3 linked regions of the Diceros bicornis minor genome follow. The protein of the gene in region 2 purifies or fractionates together with the protein of the main gene of each other region. This does not show direct contact. Links are inferred from orthologs where the notes say so. Each region holds a gene or a part of one and is shown on either strand. Other genes may lie near its edges.

Region 1 (8,202 bases), on a different chromosome or scaffold from region 2:
TATAAACGAAAGAATATGCTTTGTTGGAGGAAAATTTCCTTTCTGGAATGTGGTTGTAGTCATCCTTTTTTGGTTCTTTAAGTTTTTTTTAAAACAGGATGCAACTTAAAATTTCCTTTGCATCAAGGTGTATGCAAAACATTGATGCAGTGCATCACAAAATGAAAGTTTGTATTTAATGAGGAGATGCTTTACACTGTACTTTTTGGTGTTTTTTTGGAAAAGTTACATTTAGATCTATTCTGAAGCTGTTCATTTTTAACAAATAAAATGTTACAGGTCTCACATGATTTATTCTTAGCTATAAAGATTGAGTTGTGGTTTTTAGATTGTTCTATGTTACAAAGAACTTTGTGGTAATTATATTTAGAATTTTTAGAGTTTGCAAAACTATGTACCAACTAAGTTGGTAAATCAGTCTAGATTCATATTGACATCCTTGCAGCTGCCTTTTGACCATTTTATTCATAACTCCAACAGAAGTAGCCAGGAGGAGTTAACAGAGAGAATCAGATTTACTTAGAATGCAGAATATTAGGCTGGATGAGCCTTCAGAGATCATCTAGTTCAACCCCTCTTTTTACATCTTAAAGTGAGACCTAGCTTTTCAAGACCTGTGTGTGGCGGAGTCACTTTCTGAGCTCAGATCTTTTAATTCTCAGTTCATAATAAACTGTTCCTGTGAGTTGAACACCCACAGAAAGTAGTGGAATAGTGTGTGGCTTGTTAGATATCTAAGAAGTGGTAATAGCCATGCTTCAGCATTTATAGTGTGGTAAGTAAATCTACTCTGCCAGTGCTGATTATGAGGCTTCATTATGAGACTTCATTACTTTGGTATTCAAGTTATGTAGACCTATTAGAAAAGGCCAGTGTTCCTAATCAGACATTATATATATGTGTATTTTTTTCTAATAGGCATAAACTTCACAATTTTAATTTTAAACAAATCATAAAATACTTCTAAGTATGAGGAAACTTACAGGCTTCATTGCCCAATTGTTATTTTTTGTGAGAATAGATATGTATGTCATATTTTCCTGTAGATAGCTTTATAATTCACACAACTTACACAGTGTTGGGGTAATTTTTTTCAGATTTATATTTACTATAAGGAGATAAGAGAGAAAAAATAGCTGACTTTACAGAGAGTGAATATACACTCTGAATGCAGGCAATATTAGGGCAGAAAATGATTTCTTTTTTTTTTTTTTTTTTTTTGCTGAGGAAGATTCACCCTAAGCTAACATCTGTTGCCAATCTTCCTCTTTTGCTTGAGGAATATTCGCCCTAAACTAACATCTGTGCCAGTCTTCCTCTATTTTGTATGTGGGTCCCTGCCAGAGCATGGCTGCCAACGAGTAGTGTAGGTCCGCGCCCAGGAGCTGAACCCCGGTGGCCAAAGTGGAGCACGCCAAATTTAACCACGAGGCCATGGGGCCAGCCCGATTTTTTCATTTCTGAGCAGTATACCTTTGAACTTGCATCAGAGTTATATGATTGTTTTTTGCCACTGTGAAAAAAAATGAAGCATGTGATTTAAGCTTCCCTTTAAAGAGAGTTCTTTTTGCGTAGATCATTTTGGAGTTAGTCCTTTTTATAAAATGACACCAATAAACCCCAAGCATTTACAACACCAATTCAGTACTGTTGTGGACCGTTAACAGAGATTTAAATATTTGCTTATAAATCGTTGACTTCTGATGTCTCTCTTTCCCCTGCCATTACAGTTTACTTTCTATCTGAAACCTATTCAACAAAAAGCTTGATAAAACTAGGAAATGTGATAACCATTCTGGAACTGAATTCCTTGTTCTAAGTGTATTTAGATGAGGTTTACTGATGTTTAAAGATGAATAGGAAACTATTTCCCCAGTGTGTATGTGTTTAATTTCTACTTCCATTTCCATTTTCCTCTAATAAAAGAAAATCACATTGTCTAAATTTTAAAGTTTTAAAAAGTCAATTATTAGTGCTTCTTATTAAAGAAGTTAGAAAAGGGAAGGATCAGACATTTATTGAATATATTCAACAAGTCAGTTTCTGTGCTTTACATTTGAAGAGAATGGGATTGGCCAAGATTTTAATCTTAACTGCTTTGAGTTATAGAAGTGGAGATTTAAGGAGTGACCATAATATATTTCTGGTGAGTAGAAGGGGGCGGGGGAGGACTTTATTTCTGCGTGATGTAGTGAGATGCAGAGATGGAGAGAGCTATTGAGGTTTCAGTGCGACTTTTGCCCCTAGTATTCAATGAGTTAACTCTCAGCTTGTAAAATAAACAGGAAGAAGCAGGGAAGTTGTCTATATCAATTCTTAACATTCAGTAACTCCCACTGCCTGTTTTTTTAGCTGCTTCCAGTCAACAGAGCAGTAGTGGAATAAGTTTATAGATCCCTGTAGCCCTTTTGCTCACAGCCTTTTTGCAACTGTTTATCATCATTTCTTTTATTCATCTCTAGGCTCTGGTGAACTCACAATGACTCCATTTCCTATATCATTCTCACAAGATGATCTTATCACTTGCTTTATGGAGAAGATTGAGGGAGTAGGATGAGGATTCTCTCATTCTACCTTTACTTTTTAGATGAAACCTCAAATCCTTAGAAGTCTCAGAATTAGCTCTATTCTGAGCTATTTTTTCTTTCAGCCTTTTCTTTACCTAAGAGTTGTTCTCATATAATGGTATATATAGCATCTTCATTTTCCCCCGTATCCATGGGCCTTTCTTTTGGCCTTCAGATATCTTCAGACTTATGTACTCTGTTCTCAAAAATTGTTATTCTTTTTTCTGTCCTCCCAACCTTCTCTCCTGTTAGTACGATAACCGATTGTCTGTCTCTGCTTCTTTCCACTCATCCTTTACTATTTTTTAACTCCTGTTAATATACTCAGCCCTGGGATATGGATGGTAATTATAGAGTTTAACATATTAAGGACCTTAAAATCTAGTTGAGTAGACAAAGTAACATCAATCTATAAACTTGGTCAGAATTTAGAGACCAGGATTGGCATGGTATGTTGTAATTATGATGAGATGTACAGATAGATAGAAAGAATGAGGCCATATTACAAAGAACTTGTCAGAAGAATTTAGTGTAAATGTGGAAGGTAATAGGTAATCAAATATAGATGACATAATGGTGCATTTTAGAAAGATCTGGCAACTATTTCTATAGCATTGTAGAGTTAATATGGAATATATGATTATGCTGTTAGTCATTGTAGTTGACATATCTCTAAAAGATATAAAATGAGGCCCTGCTCTTAAATAGCTTAAAATCTTTCTAAGAATAATAAAATTTTAGGAGACCAGAGTAAAGGAAACCAATTCATGCATTGGATGAATGTTATTTGCCAAGGATGACAAATACATCGCTTGCCATTGTGGTGACCCATGCTCATATAACAGACATTGATAATTGATCCTGGAACTTGTTGCTGAAGAAACTAGAATGTGGTATTAAGAGTTCATAGAACAACTCTCTGAGCAGCTGTTACTAACAAGCTTTGGCACTGAGATTAAAATTTTTTATAATCTCTTTCGTTTAGGAGTTGGGGGAAGTGCTAGTCAAGGTTTCATTGAAGAGCTAGGTGGGATCAGCTGGGGTGATAGGTAGGATCTCTCCAACCTTATTTTCTCTTGCTGTCTGACGAACTTTTTGGCTTGTAGTCTTAATGTTCTCCACATGTACCAGTATAAATCATACCTGCTGTGTTCATGCTGATCCTCCTCCCAATCTGGAGTATTGCTTTCACCTTCCAGCCAATTCCACTTCCTAATCCTTCAGATTTTATTCAAAACCTCATTCATCCCTGATATTGATTCCTTTTTCTGAACTGTGATTGATAATCCCCACCACCCCTTTGCTGTCGTCTTATTCTCTAATTGGTGTATTTGTTTGGATTCCATAATTAGATTATAATCTCCTAGGGAAAGGGTTGTATCTGACAGCCTCTTCTGTTTCTCACAGTGAATACTAGTTGGTTGATTGTAGGAGAAATTTACATCATGTAGCAGGAATGGCTTAAATGTGTAACACAAAAATATGTTGAAGACTGGTTGCAATATGTGAGGTATAATTGGTTTAAAATGTGATATTTTCTACTTTTTCAGTAATGGTTTCATTTTTTACCATTTCTTTGGTCTACCCTTAATTCCCTCATTTAGATTATGGTCAGATCATTTTCCTCAATTTTGGTTGCAGACCAAAATTTTAGACTTTAATGCCGTTCATCCTGCTTTGCTCAACAATAAAATCTTGCCTAAAGGACGAGTACTATTTAATAAAGGGAGGGAGGGCCTAAAATATTCATATAACCCTTTCAATGAGAATTATGGAGTTTGGGAGCCAGGTTAGCACTTACATTTCCCTCAGGCAATAATAGTTAATAAATCCACAACTCTCCATTTAGATCATTTGGTAAATGTTTTAGGTCGTATCCCAGGGTCCCTTCCTCTCGTTGCCCAAGTTTCCGGCAGCAACCGTGTTAAGGGGCCTTAATTTAATGCTTAATCGAATCCTCCAGTACTGAGGGAGAAAAGCAGAGAAGTTTTGGTGAGGAGCGTTATCTGAAAGATATTTTTGTAGAGGCGTTTGAGAAATGCTGGTCACCTGGAGTAGGGGGCTGCACCATATTTGTGAGTTCCGTTTTAATTTCCCTTGAAAATCACGATGTGGGCGGAGGCAAGCGCCTGGATGTGTGGAGGGGCACCGCAGCCCTGCCCATCAAGGGAACCGTCGGGGTCTGGATGCCCCTTTCCCCGCCCACCCATCAGTTCTGGCCGCGCATGCGCTGAGCCAGCGGGCCGGAGAGTTGTCGGCTGGGAAATGGCGGCCGCGGGCTTGGTCGCTGTGACCACGGCTGCAGAGTACTCTGGCCCAGTAGCGTCGGGAGGTAACCTCTCCGGTGTTAACTGCGGCCCAAGCTCCGGGGCAGGCGCTGGTCCTGGCCCGGGCTCATGGAGTCGCTCCCTCGATCGAGCGCTGGAGGAGGCGGCGGTAACCGGGGTGCTGAGCCTGAGCGGCCGGAAACTGAGGGAGTTTCCCCGGGGAGCGGCCAACCACGACCTGACGGACACCACTCGGGCGGGTGAGTGGGGCGGGGGGCATCCCTGCCGACGGAAGGCCCGGGGCGGGGCGGGAGGCCACCCCAGCCGGTTGGGGGGAGTGGGAGTATTTAGAGCAACTGGTCCCACAGCTTCTGGTCGGGGCTCGGGTAAGGGGGAGAAGCCGACTGCCCCAACCCACCCAGCCCCCCGGGCCTGCGGGCCAGACCCCAGACCCAGACCCCGGGCCTGGCGAGGCGGCGGACAGCGGCGTCTCTCGGGAAGAGGACCGTAGGGGCTTGATGGGTGGTGGTGTGCTCGCCTAGAAAATTAACTTCTGCCGCTGCCGAGGTAGTGCCTTGCCCCGCCCCGGTGCCTGCAGGCCCTTTCGGATTTGGGATGCCAAGTTGACTTTGCTAAGATTTGGGCTTGTAGCGCGCTCTTCTTAATGGATCAGAGTAGCATTGGTCGCCGCGTTGTCAGGAAAGCATCGAGCTCGGCGCTGGCGTTTTTCCGAAAGAGTTGTTTTTAGTGTGAACCCAATCGCTGTAACTTTTCCTTCTCCACTTTCATGTAGTTGACTTACCAAATGTACTTGTAAAAATAACTAGAGCCCACCTTCAGACTCCCATTGCTTTCCTCTCTCCTCATGCCCCTCAAAAAAAGTTGAAGGAAGAAAACCATCTGAAAAAGATACATAGATTGCCTACCATATCTGTATTTAATGCTTTTTAAAAACAAACATTACTTTGCTTTATACATGTTTTTAAACACAGGAAAGATAATAAAGAATTAGGTATTATTTGGTTTTCTTAGTTGTAGAGAACAGTGTCTGGTGACTGAAGTGTTCAACATAATATGTTTTTCTTGTGTTTAAAATATAGCTTCCTCAGGGAGTAGATTAAAAACTGAGCCTATTCATGTTTTACACAAACACAAAGAAGGAAGAAAGTCCCTTATGCCGGTTTGTACAGTATGATGTGGTTAAATATTTTATTTTCATATAGTGTTTTTGCAACCAAAAAATGTACTTTGTGTCTTATATTTATTCCATTTTATTTACTTTATCTTAAAATCTTTGATAACACCTTTCCTATGTTTGTGCACTCATTAAAGACTGATGAGTATTACATATGATTCACTCATGTTAGAAAAATAAACAGAACTGTTAAACCAGTTCAAGAAACTATTCTTTCCAAAGAAACTTTTGCTCTAGTGTAAAATAGGAGAAATTAAATGCCTACTTATTTAATCTCTTTTTGGACATAGTTGTACTGAATACAGTTTGTATTTTTTAGTGAATGATAATAAAATTAAACTTTCTTGCTAAGGTAAGTTTGAACAGCCACTTGCCTTTTGCATATGTTCTCATAGATGACATCTAAAATTGTCATCATATCCCAAATTTCCTGCTTCTGTTATGGCATTATGGTTGTTCAGGAGTTGGATGGCATAGTGATTCTATATCAGTGTGAGTCATTTCAGTATTACTATATTAAGCCTGAAGCTAAAGAATAGTTGATTACAAGAGTTTAACCAGCTCCTTATCATACCTGCTTTTAAATAGTTCTAGGACCAACATGTTTTGCCTTTAAGAAATATTTTATTAACTCACAAAGAAAACCCAAGGGCATTTGTGAAGAATAAGTAATCCCAGTGAATTTTTCTCTTACTGTGCTCTGAATTTTTAATTTGTTATTATCTATGCTTATTTTATTACTTTCATAGTTTCTTTATAAACCAAATTTTTTGTTGGTTGACATGTTATCTGGTCAAAAAGTGTAAAAAAGAAAAAAGATTACAAGGTATTTCATAGCTTACTAGACTAGATTCATTTCTAACATTTTAGAAATATTACTTATTTAGTATGAGAAATCTTTGGCAGACCTTGGTAACTAAGAAATCTTTGGCAGACCTTGGTAAATACAAAAACACTGAATTATTCTAAACAGATAATTTGATACAGATAACATCATTTATTGAGTATTCACTGTTTCCTATTCATTGTTAGGTGTTTTAAAGTACATTGCCTTGTTAAATGCTCATAACAACTAATGGATTAAATATTATCCCACTTTACGTATGAGGAATCACTCAGAATTTACAGTTGAGGAATCACTGAGAAAGACATATAACTAGTATTAGTGGTAGACTTTCAGCTCAGGTCCATCTACCTCTTTTCTCTCCACTGTATCACACAGCCTCCCTATGTACAGATAGATATTACTGTTCCTGTTTACGGATAGTACAGCCAAGGTTTGGAGGGATTAATTTGCACAAAGACCTGTAGTTAAAGGCCGGGAAAGGTGGTATTAGCCAGGATTTGAGCCTAGTTTGAGGTAACTCCAAAACCGTAGTCTACCTGTTACACCAGGTACTTTGATGAATTCAGACCCAACTTATATTAGCTAAAATGTTTTGTTTAGATCCTATAGAAAATTTAAAGCCAAGAAAATTATTTGAATGCTATGTATATCAAAATTGCCACACAGTCTGTTCTTTAATAATGTATGGAATGTATCTAGTAGAGCTGCTGTCCTTCAAGAGTTTACATTCTAAGAAACAGCATATATTATCCATACCACTTATAATTTGACATGATTAGAATTCATTAGGAACATTTTCTTGAAGTTTTTCCCTCCTGTTTGTTTAAAAAGGTAAAGGGAAATATTTGTTTGGGAATGGGTGACTTGATCCAGTAGACAAGGAAAATCTTAGAAAAAATCACAGAAGACCTCTTGGGGCAGAAAGGATGTAGCTTGGATTTGGGTAAGCAGAAGTGAGAAGGAAAGCCACTCCAGGCGGTGGCTGTATGCAAATGGTGGCTATATGTATCCCCTCCAGGTGGATAGTATACACAAAGTCTTAGAGTATAGGGCACGTCATTAATTTTGCCAGTCATACATTCACCTTTCATCTGATAACAATACTTCAGTTTTCCTAGGGAGTCACCCTTTTCAGTTACATGGATCCCACCCCAACACAAGGGTGTGCACATGACTCAGGCCTAACCAATCAGTGTAGTCCATCCCTCTGGCCACAGTGATTGTCAGAGATGGGCACATTTTCCAGTCAGCAAATATGAGTGTTAATTCTGAATTTTTTTTTTTTTTTGTGAGGAAGATCAGCCCTGGGCTAACATCCATGCTAAT
Region 2 (8,210 bases):
TCATAATGCTGCCAGAACAATTCAGGAAAACCTAGCTGGGGGTTTAACAGAAACTGTAGTTCTAAAAATTTCCAGAAGCGAGAATGATAAGATGTGTGGTAATCTGGTTAAGGAATTTTTTTTAAAGTATCTATTGATAAGTGACATGTCAGCTTTAATTTTAGTCCTTTATATTAAAAATATTTCTAAAATATATTAGCCTACTTTCTTTCTAGAGTAAGTTCAGGTAGGTAAACATCATTCAATCTTTTTAAAGAAACAATTTAGGATTTTACAATGATTACATTAAATACTTTTTCATGATAAAGTACAGGAGATGCAGATGTTGATGGTGTATGAGGATGGGCTAAGATACACCATAAGGAAAAAATCATAAGACTATCTCTTTAGGAACCTGCTTATTTCCTGTAATTTATTTCCCTATAAATTCCAGACGATTACCACTAGCACAAACCTGCTAATAACTGAGGCAATGATCAACACTTCTTTTAGAAATTATAATGTTGTAAATATCTCATTTATTTATTCATTAAATAAATACTTGAGTACCTACTCATCCCTCTTTTGTAAGGTGGGGATAATGATAGAACTTCTCTGTATCAATTGGGGTGCTTCGCTGAAGGCAACAGAAACAAACCCTGCCTAACTTATCCAGAGAAAGAATGTATATAGTGGAAGAATATCATGTAGCTCACAGACTCACTAGGGATGGTGCAGAACTAGGTGTGTAAAATGTGCAGGGCCATCCATTTAGGATGTCTTTGTTGGCACTGTCATGACCAGACTCTGGTTGCCACAATACCTACCCCACTGTGAACTCTCTCTCCATCTCTGCATCTTTGCCTCACTTTGTCCAGATTCCAAGTTTCAGGTGAGAGCATCCAATTCACTTAACCTAGGTCCCATGCCATTCCTATGCCCTAGTTGCCAGATAACGGGGAGAAGGACTTTGGCCAAACTCAGTTTCCTAATTATGAGGTAGTCCTTGCAATCACCAAGATTCAAAATTAAGGATTCTCCACAAATAGGATGGGAGTTCAGAAGCTAGGCAGGCAAAAAGCTAATGCTCACCATATTACCTCCTAGGGCTGTGAAGATTTAATGGGATGGTCTATGTAAACTGCTCAGCACAGTGTTGGCACATAGTAAGCATTCAATAGATTTCAGCATTGTCATTATTATTAATTCAGTGAGGCAAGCAATGAGCTTGTCTCTAGGGATAAAAAAATAATAGGGTGGATTTTCTAATTAAAAAGCTCAATATTTTGGAGAGTTGTTACGGGGGGAAACAAATATAGAAATATTATCATAAAACCACTTAATAAGTGCTACAATACAGATATACAGTGGGTGCCCTGGAAAACAGGGAAAAGAAAAACTAATTCTGCCAGGGTCAGGGCAGAGAAAATGATGGACTGAGTTTTGAAGATTGGAAGGAGCATCATGAAAGGGCTTGACACATTAGAACTCCTATGACAGGGCAGGTTCAGGATTGTTAAGGGCTCTGTACACCATGTAAATGGGTGTTAATGGATCTGAACGTCACCAGGAGTCGGTACAGGGGGTGACAGAATCGGATTTGGGGGAGGGGTAACTCTCTAGGAGTGGTGAGAGAACAGACTGGAATGAGCAGAGGGAATGTCAAGAGTGCAGATGAAAGAAGATGGCTTGCACTAAGGGAGGATGGAGATAAAGACATCAACTTACAAGGAATTTATGACATAGAATGAACTGAATTCAGTTGACTCCAAAACCAGGGGTGAGGAAGGGAAGGAGTCCTGTGTAACTTAAAATCCACAACTTTTTGAGACCAGTGACTGGTAGTATCATAATTATAACAGGGTCTATTGGCAAAGGAATCATTTGAGGCAGTGGGAGTGGAAAGAGACTGAGTTTCTGTGGGGTGTTCAGTCTGCCTTACCTTAGGAGTTGCAACACTGATGCAGTTGAAGCTGTCAAAGTGGATATCAGCCAGGGACGGTGCAGAGCCTCTTTAAACACCTAAGACGTTGATTCCCATAAAAATGAAGGAACAAAATCACAAAATCTTGCATATTGTTTCAGAGGCAGTACTTTGAGCCTCCATCTATGATAGCGGATCCATGGATCTCAGTTTAGGAATCTCTGAAGTAGTACAAGGAGACTTGGGGAAGAGTCTTACAAATATTTAATGGTGAGAGCAAAGTTGAAACACTTAACAAACATAAATATGGAATAAATTGTTAAGATGAGTTTTGGCAGCAAATATGACACAGTTACTTCCACCATGCTTAATGACAGTATACACAATTTCCTAGGATTGTCAACTGCCTTGCTGTTTGTTCATCCATCTGTCCCAGTTATTCAACAACAATAATAATGAGGGGGCCGGCCGGTGGTGCAAGTGGTTAAGTGCGCACGCTCGGCTGCAGCAGTCCAGGGTTCACGGGTTCGGATCCCGGGCGCGCACCGACACACCGCTTGTTGGGCCATGCTCTGGCGGCGTCCCATATAAAGTGGAGGAAGATGGGCATGGATGTTAGCCCAGGGCCAGTCTTCCTCAGCAAAAAGAGGAGGATTGGCAATGGATGTTAGCTCAGGGCTGATCTTCCTCACAAAACAAAACAATAATAATGATAGGCACTGTTTAATGAGTAGCTACCATGTAAAAGCCACCAGGCTCCACACTAGGGACACGAAGGCAAACAAGGGCCCTTTTCTGCCCTCAAGGAGTTTACAGGCCGGTTGGGGGAAACAGGTAAGTAAATGAAAGTAGCGATAGTAAAATGAGTGTTGGAAGAGAGATGTGCAATAGGTGCTGAGAGAGAGACGGGAAAGAGCACCAAATTGCACCTGGGTTTTGGAATAAGGGGGTTAGCAAAAACTTGGAGGGGACAAATACGCTTTATTCTGAAGGATTAATTAGATTTAGGCTGGCAACACTCCAGTGTAATAAATAGCATAGCTGTCTGTTCTGGACACCAAGCACTTCAGAACTGCTTGAACATAAAGTGAAGAAATGGAGAAAGGCAATGGATAGAAATGAGACTGGACAGGTAAGCCGGGCTAGGACAGTGGTCCTAAATGGTTAAGTGATTCCAAAGACAGGCAGGAAACATTGTGTGAAGAAGCCTGGTTTAACAGAGCTTTATGGGGTTTAAGTCAGTGACGAACTGGGGAACAATGAGGAGGCATTCAAATTCAATTAAATGAAAAAACGCAAGAGATCTCCACTGTGCTAGACAAACAGACACAGTCCAAGGATCATAGAAGACATTTTAAGGAGTGTGGATTTTATACTAAGGGTAGTCAGGGCCACTACAGGAGTCTTCAAAGAGGAGTACATAATCAGACTTTTATTTTATACAATATAAACCTGGTAGCATTGCAGACACTGGATTAGAAGGGAGAAGATGCCGCCTGGGAAACTGGTTCGGTGGCTAAAGCAGTACGCAAGACCTGAAATGACGGTGGCCTGAAGCAAGATGACGGCAGTGGCTCTGAAGAGGAATTCGATACACTGGAGAGATATGGAGCTAGAATCTAAGGGACTCAGGAATGACCTGGAAGTGGGGGCAGAGGAGAGAGAGAAAAACCACAAGTCCTCACTCACAATAAACTGTACTGGCTTCTATCGTTCTGCCAAAGCCTTTCAATCTTAAATCCAAAAAAAAGTCAAAGTCGTGAACTGAAATCATCCTCTCCTTCTCGCTCTTTTTTTTTTTTTTTGCAATTCCTTTTGAAATCTAGTTTTATATACTTAAGGTTTACCTCTGGGCAATCTGGAATTAAATTTCTGAGATTGCTGTAAATTAGTTCCTTTCTTGGTTTCTCTTCCTCTTTCTTACTTCCCTGTTTTATTCTTAATATTTTATTGTTTTAGTTGTATGCTAAAATATCTCATCATAACTTAGCTTTTCCACCAAAAGAACTGTGGAACATCTGAATATCTGAAACTTGTCTCCCATCAGAATCTTCTAGATTTCCTGAAGTTTCCTAGTTGCACTCAGAAATGTTGCGGGAAAAAGTGTAATTCTCAGGTATAGGTACTTGAACTTTTTTCGGCGGAGACGTTGAGCATCATAGTCAATCACCATTTCATTTTCTTAAAAGAAGCTTCTTTTCTTCGTAAAGGCAATGTATGTTTTTATCACATAATTCAATTTTGCATAGCTTCTTCACATTTAATTTTGAAATATGACTCACAGGTAGGTCACTTATAAAAACACTAAAATATAAACAACAGAGAGGATCGGGGCTCTGACAAGTAAAGGCGGCGGCAGGACGGAGGCCAAAGAAATGCAAAACTCCCATCTCAGACCCCTGCTCCCAAAGCAGACTGGCAGGTTTGTCGCGCAGGAGGTCACCCCCTTCGGAGGGCAGCCCGGCAGCCGCCGCGCCCGGGGCCGTGGTTCTTCCCCGCCCAGCCCCTGCCGGGGCCCTGCCCGCCCTCGGAACACGCGCGGTCCGCGCCCCTCCCCGGACCACCCTCCCTCCGTGAGCCGAGTCTCGCTGGAGCCGGACTGCAGTCACCGCACCCAGGCCGGAGAGGACCGGCTCCCAGGGGTGCAAACCACAACAGCCGCCCAACACGCCGCTTCGCAGGGGCGGGAACGAGGAGGGAGCTCCGCGCCGCGCGCTGGCCGGGGGGGCCGGGGCAGGGACCGCGGGCCCAGACGCGGAGCGTCCCCCGCCCGCCGCGCCCCTCTCCCTTCTCCGCCCGGTATCCCCGCCCCTCTCCTCCTCAGGCCAGTCGCCCCGTCCCGCCCTCCCCTCTCTCGCCGCGCCCTCCCTCTCTCGCCGCGCCCTCCCTCTCTCGCCACGCCCTCCCACCCTCCATCGCCCCGCCCCTCTCCCGCCTCCGCCCGATCGCCCCGCCCCCGCGCCCCGCCCCCTCAGGCGCTCCGTAGCCGTGACGTGCGCGGGCCCGGGGACTCCGCGGGGCGCCGGCCGGCGGGCGGAGACGGACCCGGCGACTGTCCGAGCAGGAAGCGAGCTCTGCCTGGTCCGTGCCGCCGCCCGTCCCTGTGCGCGTCCGCCTCGTCGCCCTCTGCGCGCACGCTCGTCACCTCCTGCCCCGCCCTCCAGTCTCACCGGCGACAGGTAGCCCTCCGCCGCACACCTGCCTTCGTGGTCCGCCCGGTGAGTGTCCGGAGCCCCGCGGGGGGCGTCGGCCTCGTTCCCCGCCGCCCGCCCTGCGTCGGGGGCTCCTCGGCCGCCCGGGCCGGGGCGCGGGGCTCCTCCGAGGACGCGGGTGGGGAGCAGGTGAGGGCGGCGGCGGCGGCGGCGGCGGCGCCGGGCTGCTGCTCGTTTCCGCAGGACAATGGGCGTCCGCGTCCAGGGACTTGTCATCTCCGGGATACCTTTGTGTCTGCGCTGGCTCCCGGGTGGAAGCAGGGCGCTCTGGTGTCCGCTCTGTCCGGGCCACTCCGTGGTGGCTTTATTTTCTCTTTCGTAAACAAGCTTCAAATCCAGCGCAGCAGTAGTGCCGTTTGTTCTGGGAGGTGCGGATCACACATTAACCTAGTAGTTTAATCATGTAGGGGACCAGGTTGGGACTACCTAAAGCTCCATTTGTCGTCTTTAGATGGTCCAGTACTTTGAGTATGCTAATTTATATATCTGCTACTGAACAACAGGTTTTATGTTTGTTAATTTCCAAAGACTCTTTAAAACGATTAAAAGCTCCAATTCTAGGACTTTAAGTAGGAAATAATTTGATAGGGTTATTATAAAACATGGGTGTCAGAAATACTTTCATACAATTTCAGAAAACACATTACATTTTATCTGACATGATGTTTGCGGTGGAGGAATGCTTAAATCCTAATCTACAGATATTAGTGAAGAACTGGGAAGACTGCCCCAAACTTAATAGACTGATGTACGTGCTAAATAAAAGGTTCATTTGCACTTGTGCTCTGGTGGTGTAGATGCAGTGTATCTAAATGTAGTCAGGGTTTGAGAGTTTTAAAAAAGAATATTCTTAAGATTTAGCTCATGCTGTTAACACCATAAAATGTGACTCTTGAACTTGGGCTGGCAGTGGTCATGGTACAAAGGCTGGCAGCAAAATGGCATTTCTGTACAAATTAACTCCACTTCGTAGATGTCTTGGGCTGTGGTTTTCCAGTTGGAAATTGTTTAGTGAAAAAATTACCTTGGTGTCTTTTATCATTAATTTTAGAAACAGCACAAATTGGGCTATAGCCAGATCTTGAAACAATGCAACTGTTCAGAATAACTCATTGACTTTTAAATATCCAGTTCATTTTGAGTATTTTCAGTTGGGCAGGAATTACATGCACATTTTAGTTGTAGGCAGATTTGCCCGTCGCATTTGTATGTTCTGTGTGACATGCTATTGTTCTCCCAGCTTTTTGTTATATTTTTGATTTCAAAAACTAGTTTTAAAAGGCAGTAACAGAAGTGATAAACAACTTTAAGATCATCATGATTCAAAACTCTAAATATGTAATATATAGAACTATATATAATATACGTATATTCTTCATTAGTGCCCGGAAACATGAGCAAGAAAAATGTAATGAGCTATTGCACTATTTAATGTAAATTAATGCAAGGTATAAAAAACAGAGATCATAAATCATAACGCATGGGGCTCATCTGAAATAGATTTTTTTCTCTGTTTATGTTTATGTGATCAGGTTTTAAAATAACAGTGGCCAGGAAATCTGAGAGAGGCTGAAGGCTCTTTTCTCATCCTGTTGTGACTTTGTCTGGAGACTGTGGTGTATCATGTAGCCCATTGTTTAGATAACTGGCCTGTCTCTGGGTTCTAAAATACAGCTTTCTTTAGAAAGTTTAAAAATTTTGACCACGTGAGGTTTGAAGAAATATAAACACCCTAAACATTTTTTTTTTTAAATGAAGCAATTTTCATTGTCTGTTGATTATTGAAGCTCCATCTTTGATATGTAAAATGTCAGTTTTAAAAAGATTTCTTTAAACTTTTTTTTTTTTGGTGAGGAGGATCAGCCCTGAGCTAACATCCATGCTAATCCTTCTCTTTTTGCTGAGGAAGACCAGCTCTGAGCTAACATCTATTGCCAATCCTCCTCCTTTTTTCTCCCCATAGCCCCAGTAGATAGTTGTATGCCATAGCTGCACATCCTTCTAGTTGCTGTATGTGGGACGCGGCCTCAGCATGGGCGGAGAAGCGGTGCGTAGGTGCGCGCCCGGGATCCGAACCCGGGCAGCCAGTAGTGGAGTGCGCGCACTTAACTGCTAAGCCACGGGGCCGGCCCTAAAAAGATTTCTAACCTCTGTGAAATTTTCATTTCTACATATTAAAATATTTTGAGTAAAAGATTGAAAAAAATATTACAACTTTAATGAATCTCATACAGTTTAATTGTGAGCCCCATAGGAAGAGACTTCGTAATAATTTGTGAACTGGCCCTTTAGTATTATAAGATCGTCACCCATTTATCAGGCATCTGCCATAATCAGAACACTAACTGAGGGACTTGATCAACAAAATATTATCAAAGCTGGTGGTCTTGTCTTTTTACACATGAGGAAATTTAGGCTCTGAGAATTAAATATTTGCTCAAGGTCATGTAGCTCCAGAGGGACAAAGTCTGGATTCACACCCAAGTCATCTGACCACGAGACCCCGTCCTTTCCACCAGACCAGGGTGCCTTGATCTCAGTTCATTTAGTAGACTGTTCAGTAAACCTGCAGAACTGGTATTGTGTTCCAGAATGTAACTTGAGGTTTGAAGAAGGCACACAGGAGTGAGGATAAGATAGGCCGTGAATATGGTTCTGGAATGAATTTTGATTTCTCTGTCTTTTTTCATTCTTAAGTTGACAGCCTTGAATGGTGATATGATGTTGCTTTATCATTTCTGGTGTAAATTCTAGAATGTTATACATATTGTGCACTGTTTAGTAGGTTTATAGGAACTAGAATTAGGCTGTAACACTGGTTTTCATTGTAGCTAAAATGAATAGTATAATCTTTCTAGTTAAGATAGAACTTTAAAATTTTCCTCAAATGAGATAGGTTGTTGCCCATAAATGCACTAGTTGTCTTTTAGATACTACATAATTAACTCTGAAATCCTGGGGTGGGGGACTTGTTTTTAGATTATGATTAAATTGTCATCTCTACTTTTAGGACAATTTTTTTTATGGCCTGTGTTTATTTCAGGAATATCCCTTGAGCTGTAATAGATATAAAGGACAAAAATGAGCACACAAAG
Region 3 (8,138 bases), on a different chromosome or scaffold from region 2:
AAACTGCAAAACAGAACAACGCCCAAAACCAGCTAGTCTGATTTCAACTGAGGACAGACAGACTCTGTAGTCAGAAGCACCACAATGAAAGAACTCTAAATCACACAGCTGGCCTGGTGGGTCTGCATACTCTACAAAACAAAGCCATACCACATTCAGTACTTCAAACTTGAAAGGATCTTTAAAAACCTACACTGGCTCTGTTAATTTGCCAACAGCTCCAGAATCAGCAAAATATACCTACAGTGCACTGGAGTTAGACAGTGAGAAGACAGGATGAGGTAGGCAGGGCTGAGAAGAAGTTAGGAACTATTCTCTACTCATAACTTTGTTGAGGCATCCTGGCACAGAAATGATACTAAACCAGTACTTCTGGATTTCACCCCAACATATATTCAAATCAGAGACAACCACTCTCCTAAAAAGCAAATGGATGCTTGATATTTATGGAATAATTTATGTTTAATGAAAAAGTAATGGTTACATAAGAATAATTCTTGTAAAAAACCAAACTAGTAGCACATTCCTACGAAACAGACATCCATACTGTCTCAGTAGTGCATTTTAAATTAAGTGGCTTTTAAAGTTCTTTTTTCTTCTAAAAAATATATAAAATCAGGCAGCACCTGAACTAATTCAAGCATATTAATACTCAAACCAATCTGCAGATTCATCTTATTCTTAGAATACTCATCTTTCAATCCTTTGTGCCTAGCAAAGAACAGGCGTTCAATAATTGCATGCTTCTTGTATATTCATATTTTATCTAAGTCATAAAAAGGACACATCTCAAGATTTTATTTCCAAGATAATGGAAAGAGGAAGAAAATCTCTGAGAAGCAAAGGGGAAGAACAGTCATTACTTGGGGGCTTTTAGGTGATTTTCATGTGGAATGAGCTGATGACCCAACATTCTGCTTCCACAACATTTAACATCCCTCGCATCACAATAAAAACTACCAACACTACTTTAATAAGACTTTTTGTCCAAGGCTCAGCAGAGAGGGTAAGAATTGAATGAACCACGGAAACAATTACCCACACACCCATGAAAGTGATTTCTCAGAAGCAAAACACCCCAAAAGAAAAAGGAATGGGAATAACTAGAAAAAATCAAGATGAGCATTGTTGCTAATCATGTTACGTGTACTCTCAAAGTTGAAAATTAAAAAGTATTTTAAAAAAAATACACGAACAAAGAATAAATATAAATAGTTTAAATATTTAATGGAATCTTTTAGGTGAACATCCACGTGACACTAGAAAGCATCAACAGGAAGAGGAAGTTCTGTTTCTGGAGTCGCTGTTATGGTATGATAATGGAATTTGGCCCTTTTAAAATCAACAAATGAGTCTTACAATTGGGTAAAACTCTTATTAGGAAATTCAACTACTTTCTGCAGGAGCACTATTGCTGCACTTTTCATCAAAGTGCCTTCTTTGGCCCCCTTATTCAGTTATTTGATCTTTTTTTTAATGATGTAACAGTTTGAAACATGACAAAAAAAAAAGGTGACTGAAATTTGGGACCAGGATACAATGTCATAATTAAATTGAGAAATAAAACGTAGTAAAGGACTTAATATGCTTCTATTGCTTAACCTAATATTCCAAAGAATAACTCTTAAGAGTAAGGGAACTCCACTTAAACCACAAATGGCCTACCTCAATTAACCAAACAACACCAGGCAACATAGAATAAGAACTACTATAAAAGGCTCACAGAACTCAACAAATCCACCTGTCACACTTGTACTACATAATTCGCTTAGGGTTTGTATCCCTTAAATGCAAATGTCTCTGGAAGACGAAACACTAAAAATACAATAATTAAAATTAAGCCCCATTATTTTTCTTCGCCTTTTTTTAGCTCCTTGATATTGCCCCCAGCAAAAGCCTGCGGTTTACTAGTAATTTCAATATTCTGGAAAATTATTAGATAATAAACACTGTGCAGGTCAATTACTTAAAGGAAATCAAGTTCATAAATCATTATGCAACAGTCTCAGAATGAAATTCACAAACAGAAATTCCTAAAAAGTAACAGTGTCCAGAAACAACAGGACAGGAATCAAAACCGAGGATGCACCAACACCCCAGCTGACTTCGAGCACTGACCTTCACCCCAAATGACCTTCCTCTGGTTCCAAAATAAGGACAGAATCCTAACGCACACTACAGGCAGAAAACCACAATCATGGTTTTACCTATCCCTGCTCTGAGAATCTGGAGGAAAGTTTCTCTCCAGAAAAAACTACATTTCCAAATTCAATCAACCGGGTAACTCGGCAGCAACCCTAGACATATTGCAGAGCTCGGAAACAACCTTCTCTCCTGTGCCTGTCAACGCCGCTGGTCAAAGGCAATCACTGACTCTCCTGCTGGGTCGGCCGAATCCAGGGAGGCTGAGCGCAGGGGGAGCTTCATACCAACCTGTCGGTGATAGTAGACTGTGTGCCACTCATTGGGGCCCTTGGCGAGAGGTCCTCCTTTTATCCAACTTGCATTTTACAGGAACACCTCCACCCCACCCCCAGTGCTCTGGGATCAGGCCCGACTCCGTAAGGGACACAAAAGTCCAACTCAAAACTCCATGCAGTCATCTAGAACGTCCGATTGGAAGGAGTCAAGGAAAGGGGATATGGGGTGGAGCAAAACAAGTTATCTCCCCAAACAACCCGAGGAAGTCTGCCAGAAGGCGAGTTCTAGAGATCAATCCTCGAAAAGGCACAGGGAGAAAACTTCGTCACCGAGGGAAGTCGGAGAACCGCAGGGAAGGGGGCCCGGAATCCCTCCGGGGCTGGGGCGAGACCAGCTCAGGGCTGGCGTCGGCTCCTCCTCCGGAGTCTCGGGGCCTGCACGTCCCGCCCTCTCGTCTCCGCTCTATCTGGGACTGCCGGCCGCTCGTGGCCGCAGCCTCGGCCGCGTCTCGGACCGTCCCGCGCCAGGCTCGCGCGGCTCCATGTCCCCGGGCCGGGGAAGCCCTCTCGTCTTCCTCGCCGCCCCCACCAGGCGCGGGGCGGGTGCGGGTGCCGGCGGAGCGGGTCCCGCAGCCAGAGGTGACAGGAACCTGGTCTCAGCGCCGCGGGCTGCTCCCCATCCTGCGGAGGCCCGGACTCTTCCGCAGTCGGGAGAGGCGGCGGCAGCTCCTCCCCGACGCGCCGAGGGCGGCGGTTCCCGCGAGGGGCGGGAGGTTCCGGTCCGGCCCGGCGTGGAAGTGCCGGCCCCGGAGGCCGGCGGCAGCGGCGGCGACTGGGAGCGCACGGCTGGCTCGCCGGGTCCTGAGGCCCTCGCGGGAGCGCGCGCGGCGGGCGGGGGAGGCCGGCGGCGGTGGGGGCCGCGCGACACTCGCAGGCGTGCGCCCGGGTTCCGGTTCCGGTTCTGTCTTCCAGACCCCGGCCGTGTCCAGCGCGAGCTCGCTCGTCCCCTCCCCCGTCGACTTTTTCGGCCTCCTCCCCTCTGACTTCGGGAAGCCGCCTCACCCGGGATCCCTCCGCGGCGCGCAGGGCCGCCGCGCCGCCCTCCCGCCTGGGGCCCGCCGCCCCCGCTCGCCTCGCGCGAGTTCCCGCCGCCCCCGCCGACGCCTCCGCCGGAGTCTTGTGTGGGGGAGCGAGAAAGTAGTTCTGCGGGACGAGGTGGGAACAGTCGGTACCCGGGAGTCCCACTCACCAACTCAGCAACCCACCGTCGCCCCTGGGGCCCCGGGAATGCCGGGTATCTGTACTTCGGAGCCTAGCTTGCGCTAACTCAGCTTTAACCGGAGACCGCCAAAGAGCGCTCCCCCAACCCCGAGGTGTTCAGGCTGAGAGGCTCTTTGGCCATCACCCGCCCCCTTGTCCTAGAAACTTTTACTCCTTGAGGGAATGTACTTGTTCTTCCGATTTTCTGCTAACACGTTTAGACTGCTTCTGACTGATGGAAGCGAGCTCAGGTCCAGGTGCCTGGACACTGTCCCTCTCTTATGAAGCAAACCCCAGCAAAGGGAGGTTTTGGCCTTGGCCACTCACCTGGGGCACCTGCTGGCCTCGTCTCAGGACAGGGGCCGCCACGCACGCGTCCTGCCTGCCGAGGGAGGGTTGGAGGACGGGGGTGTGCAGGGCTGGGGAGAAAGAGAGTTTGGGAATTGGAGCCAAGATTTCTTGGGATAATATTGCTTTTAAGCTGCTTCTGCCTTGGCAAAATGAAAGGTATTATTTGCCAAATTGAGAAAACATGGTGCTTTCCACAGCGACCTAACAAGCTTGCTGTGGAAAGAAATAAAGGCAGAAAATAAAGTATACTGTATTTATCCAGTAAACAGCATTACAGTTCTCTTTGAAGAGTTCCCAAATATTCTTTCGTTGTTTTTTTCCTACTATGTAGCTAGATTTAGATATCTATGTAGTTTTATGATTGCATAATTCGGTATTGTAGCAATTTAAGTACAACACGCAATTTAGTTCTTCCATTCCTCCCTTAAAGGTCTAAAGTGGCTGTCCCTTTATCCAGCTATTTTCAGACTTTTGAGTTTAAACCCGTATTGGTGGTCTTCAGCCTTTTTGTGGAAATCAAGTGGCAAAGCAAATCTAGTCGTCAGTGGATGTGGCGAGCGGAAACAGTTACAATTACCTCTTAACAATGCTGTTTCTAAAAGTCGACCTACAACAGTTCATGAAAGGATCATTATCCCTGAATAGATGCATGAGCTAAGGCTGACGTTAGAACGGGGTAAAAAAAGGAAAAGATAAACAGAGGCCAAAGATGACTCTTTATTGCTTGAATTTTTTAAGTTCAGGGCACAGCCAGCTAATTTTGTAATGTTTATTTTGGGAAAAAATAGAAGCAGATTAGGGTTCCAAGCCACTTTCCTAATGATCAGACCAGGACACATTGCCACCTGCTGGTGTACCCTAACGTGATAATTCTATCCTGAAAACTCTTTTAATGAAATTATGTATTTTCTACATATAACTGGAAAGAGCTCCATCCATCTATATACACTGACCAAAATGCAAACCTTATCTCCAAACGTATATCTTTCTTAAACATACTAAATATCTTTTTTGCCCTATTCTAATAATTTTACAGTGTAGGTATCAAATTAATTGGACCCAATGACTCATCAAATTATGCATTTTAAAAACGAGTTCCCCACTTCCCTTCAAGAATGCCTCACTACTTGAGCTTCAGAAATAAAACAAACTGGGCAAGTTTCCTAATTCACCTTCTCTTCCTTGCATACAAAACCTCTTGGCAGACTGCTTTCAAGATCTTTCCAAACTTAAACAGACCCAAAGTTCTAGCTGTGAGCAAAGAAGGCATTTGCTGTGGGAAAGCTTCAGAAGATGGTAAGCAAAGGATTTAATTAAGCCCAGAACTATTTTTTCTTAATGATGAAAATCTCTATATTCACCCACAAAGCGCTAATGGTAAAATGTCTGTGAAAGCCTCTTTACAGCTGTTGGTAGCTCTAGACTGTTCTAAAGGGCTCTATCTACAGAACGCCTTCAGAAGAGTCACACCAATCTAGGTAGTACACACTCCCCAGGGTCGTTAGTCTTTTGCCTAGAAAAATGACACAATCCATTGTGCATGCTGTTTGAGCAGGTTTTCCATTGGAGGGTTATTCTAAACCACATTCTCCTCCCCTCATCCATTCTTTCAACATGCTTACTGAGCACCTACTCTGCATCTAACACTGTTCTAGGTGTTGGAAGTACAGTTCTGAAGAGAGCCAAAGGCTGTGTCCTCATGGAGCCCACTCAACATCATCATTTTCAAGGCAACTGCCCACACAGGTGGCAAAATAAGAAAGAAATTAGGTTCTTCCTCTCTCTTTTGGCAAAGTGTTTTCTGTATGTAGAGTGTTGCTCCAAAAAGTAAAGAATGGTAGGAATGGTTGATGATAAGCAGCAGATAAGAGGTAATTCACCAATAAGTATAAATATGGGTCAACATTTCTACAGGTCAAAAGACTTTTTTCCCCACTTCTTGGCAAAACCACAACAAAGATATAAACGCAGACTCTAGGTTGAGAAAAAGTTGTTTATTTTTATAAAATTTAGTACAAATCTTATTGAAATATAAATCCTTCTTGAGCAGTGTTAGTAATTATTACATAGTAATCCAAATGCAAATGAGTCCTGCATTTTGTCCAACCACACCACATGTGAATTAGCCCTTCATTTACCTGTGATGTAAAAACTCAGCATCTCAACTGCTGAGGCATATTCATTTCACATTTTTCTCTCAGAGAGTTTCCTTCATAGTTATTAGCTATGACATCAAGAATAGTTGAAATGAGGAATTCTCTTTCCCTTATCATTGTTTAGGTTTCTCAAAATTCAAAGAAACTCCCATGAGAGTACCCCAAAACAGCAAGATCTGCAATCCCTTCATTTCTGAAGAGTAAGGAGAAAAGAATTGGTACCAGATTAAGCCTATTCATTTGTCTGGTATGGAACAGGTTACACTGTGCCAAAATTCAAGAGCCAGCTTTTTCTTTTTTTTTTTTTTGAGCTCATGCACCAAGCCACTTTTTTAGTAGGCTTTCGCTAAAATCAGCATTCCCCAGCATCCTACTTTGACCACAGATTTGTTAGGAGGAAGCTAACTAGCATTTTAGGGATACTGATCATAGACAAATAGAGATGGAGATGCTACTGTCAGATTATTTCCATGTCCAGCAAAACTCTTTCACCAAATGACAGTCATTTTAGAAGACCCACTGTTAACATGCCTTTAAAGTTGCTTTTCCCAGAGCAACGATGACTTGATGCAGTTCCAGTCACTCCGTCATGCCTGGCCAATGACATCCATTTTCAAGACCACTCATTAGGTTAAGATTACCAGTCACCACAGGATGGGCTCACACTTCCTGCTTTCAGCCTTGACTTCAAGAGCCCCATACACTTGCTTACCAACTGAGCTAATCAGTCACCACAGATCTAAATAACATAAATAAATAAATAAACAACAAATATACAAATAAATAAATACTTCACTTTTTCATAAAAGCCCTACATTAAACACCTCCATGAATAAAATGCCACATAATGTCTCTATGAAATACCCAGCAGGGTATTTCATTCATTCACAAGAGGGTTCAAATTGAGGCAAAGAGTAAACAAGTGACCTGCCCAAATGATCCAGCAAGTGAGTAGCAAAATTAGTTAAAGAGCCCAGGAATTCTTGATTCCCATCCCCTTGTTCTGTGCTTACACTCTTGCTTTTCCTAGGTGAGATCAGAGACTATCGCACTAAAAAATATTTTTTCCTTCCAAGTCTGGCCTTGTTATAATATTTTGTCCATCAACACTGGCACCTTTTTCTGAGAAAAAGTAGTAAAAGGACTGAAAGGGAATGTATCTGAAATGCAAAAATTAGCCTTATCCCACTGAGGCCAGGACATGCTTTAGTCTTTGGTTCTAGCCTGCAGCGTGCACAGCAGAGCTGAAACTTGAACTGTCATCTCAAGCATAGTGGAATCCACAGGGTAAATCCCTGTGGAATTTAGTCACAGCCTCTCATGCCTACGAGATTAATGCACAAAGCCCTGAGAACTGGCATAGTTTTCCCGGTTGGGCAAAACCCGTACAACAGGACTCGGTAAATCTGCCCACACCTCATTCATCTCTCATCCAAAGCCCTGGCTCTATGGTTTTTGTGCAGAAAAGAGAACATAGCAGGACTGAACTGCTATCCTTGGAAAGGGCTGCTTGTAAGGCTGGCCATCAGCCAGCATCTGGGAACTTCGATTTCAGGAGAGCTCCCACCATTAACTGATAAGACTGGCTCACTGTGCCTAAAACTCTTTGTGCAAACAATATGGGTTATGCTGAATACCTGCTTTCCTTCTGGGAGTCAGGAATTTTGCTACATCCCAGTAAAAACCCTGGGCACTGAGTCTCTAATGAGCTTCCTTGGTGGACATTTCACACATATTGCCACAAATCGTCGATAGTGGAATTAAGCACATCCTGTGTGATCCCACTGGGAGAGGGCTCTGGAAGCTTGGGCCTGGTTTCCCCTATACTTTGCCCCTGGTGCTTTTTCCCTTTGCTGATCTTTCTTGGTATCCTTTCGCTGTAATATATCAAAGCAATGAGTATGACTATGTGCTGAGTCCTGTGAGTCGTCCTAGGGAACCTGAGGGTGGG

What was found. The genes of interacting proteins can lie anywhere in the genome.
Region 1: the proteins of MYO6 (region 2) and LRCH3 purify together in Homo sapiens (co-immunoprecipitation; 3 studies listed by BioGRID and IntAct, with this or other methods). This does not show direct contact. The link is inferred for Diceros bicornis minor from reciprocal best matches to the Homo sapiens genes MYO6 and LRCH3.
Region 3: the proteins of MYO6 (region 2) and ARHGEF12 purify together in Homo sapiens (affinity purification with mass spectrometry; 4 studies listed by BioGRID and IntAct, counting the BioPlex papers as one, with this or other methods). This does not show direct contact. The link is inferred for Diceros bicornis minor from reciprocal best matches to the Homo sapiens genes MYO6 and ARHGEF12.

The regions. Positions count from the first base shown.
Region 1 is NC_080754.1:26,794,075-26,802,276, reverse strand, and holds the start of LRCH3 (DISP complex protein LRCH3), read left to right. Parts: upstream 1-4,818; 5' UTR 4,819-4,832; coding exon 4,833-5,094; intron 5,095-8,202. UniProt on the Homo sapiens protein: As part of the DISP complex, may regulate the association of septins with actin and thereby regulate the actin cytoskeleton.
Region 2 is NC_080762.1:54,978,785-54,986,994, reverse strand, and holds the start of MYO6 (unconventional myosin-VI), read left to right. Parts: upstream 1-4,961; 5' UTR 4,962-5,121; intron 5,122-8,210. UniProt on the Homo sapiens protein: Myosins are actin-based motor molecules with ATPase activity. Unconventional myosins serve in intracellular movements. Myosin 6 is a reverse-direction motor protein that moves towards the minus-end of actin filaments.
Region 3 is NC_080746.1:16,732,071-16,740,208, forward strand, and holds the start of ARHGEF12 (rho guanine nucleotide exchange factor 12), read right to left. Parts: upstream 3,385-8,138; 5' UTR 2,466-3,384; coding exon 2,434-2,465; intron 1-2,433. UniProt on the Homo sapiens protein: May play a role in the regulation of RhoA GTPase by guanine nucleotide-binding alpha-12 (GNA12) and alpha-13 (GNA13). Acts as guanine nucleotide exchange factor (GEF) for RhoA GTPase and may act as GTPase-activating protein (GAP) for GNA12 and GNA13.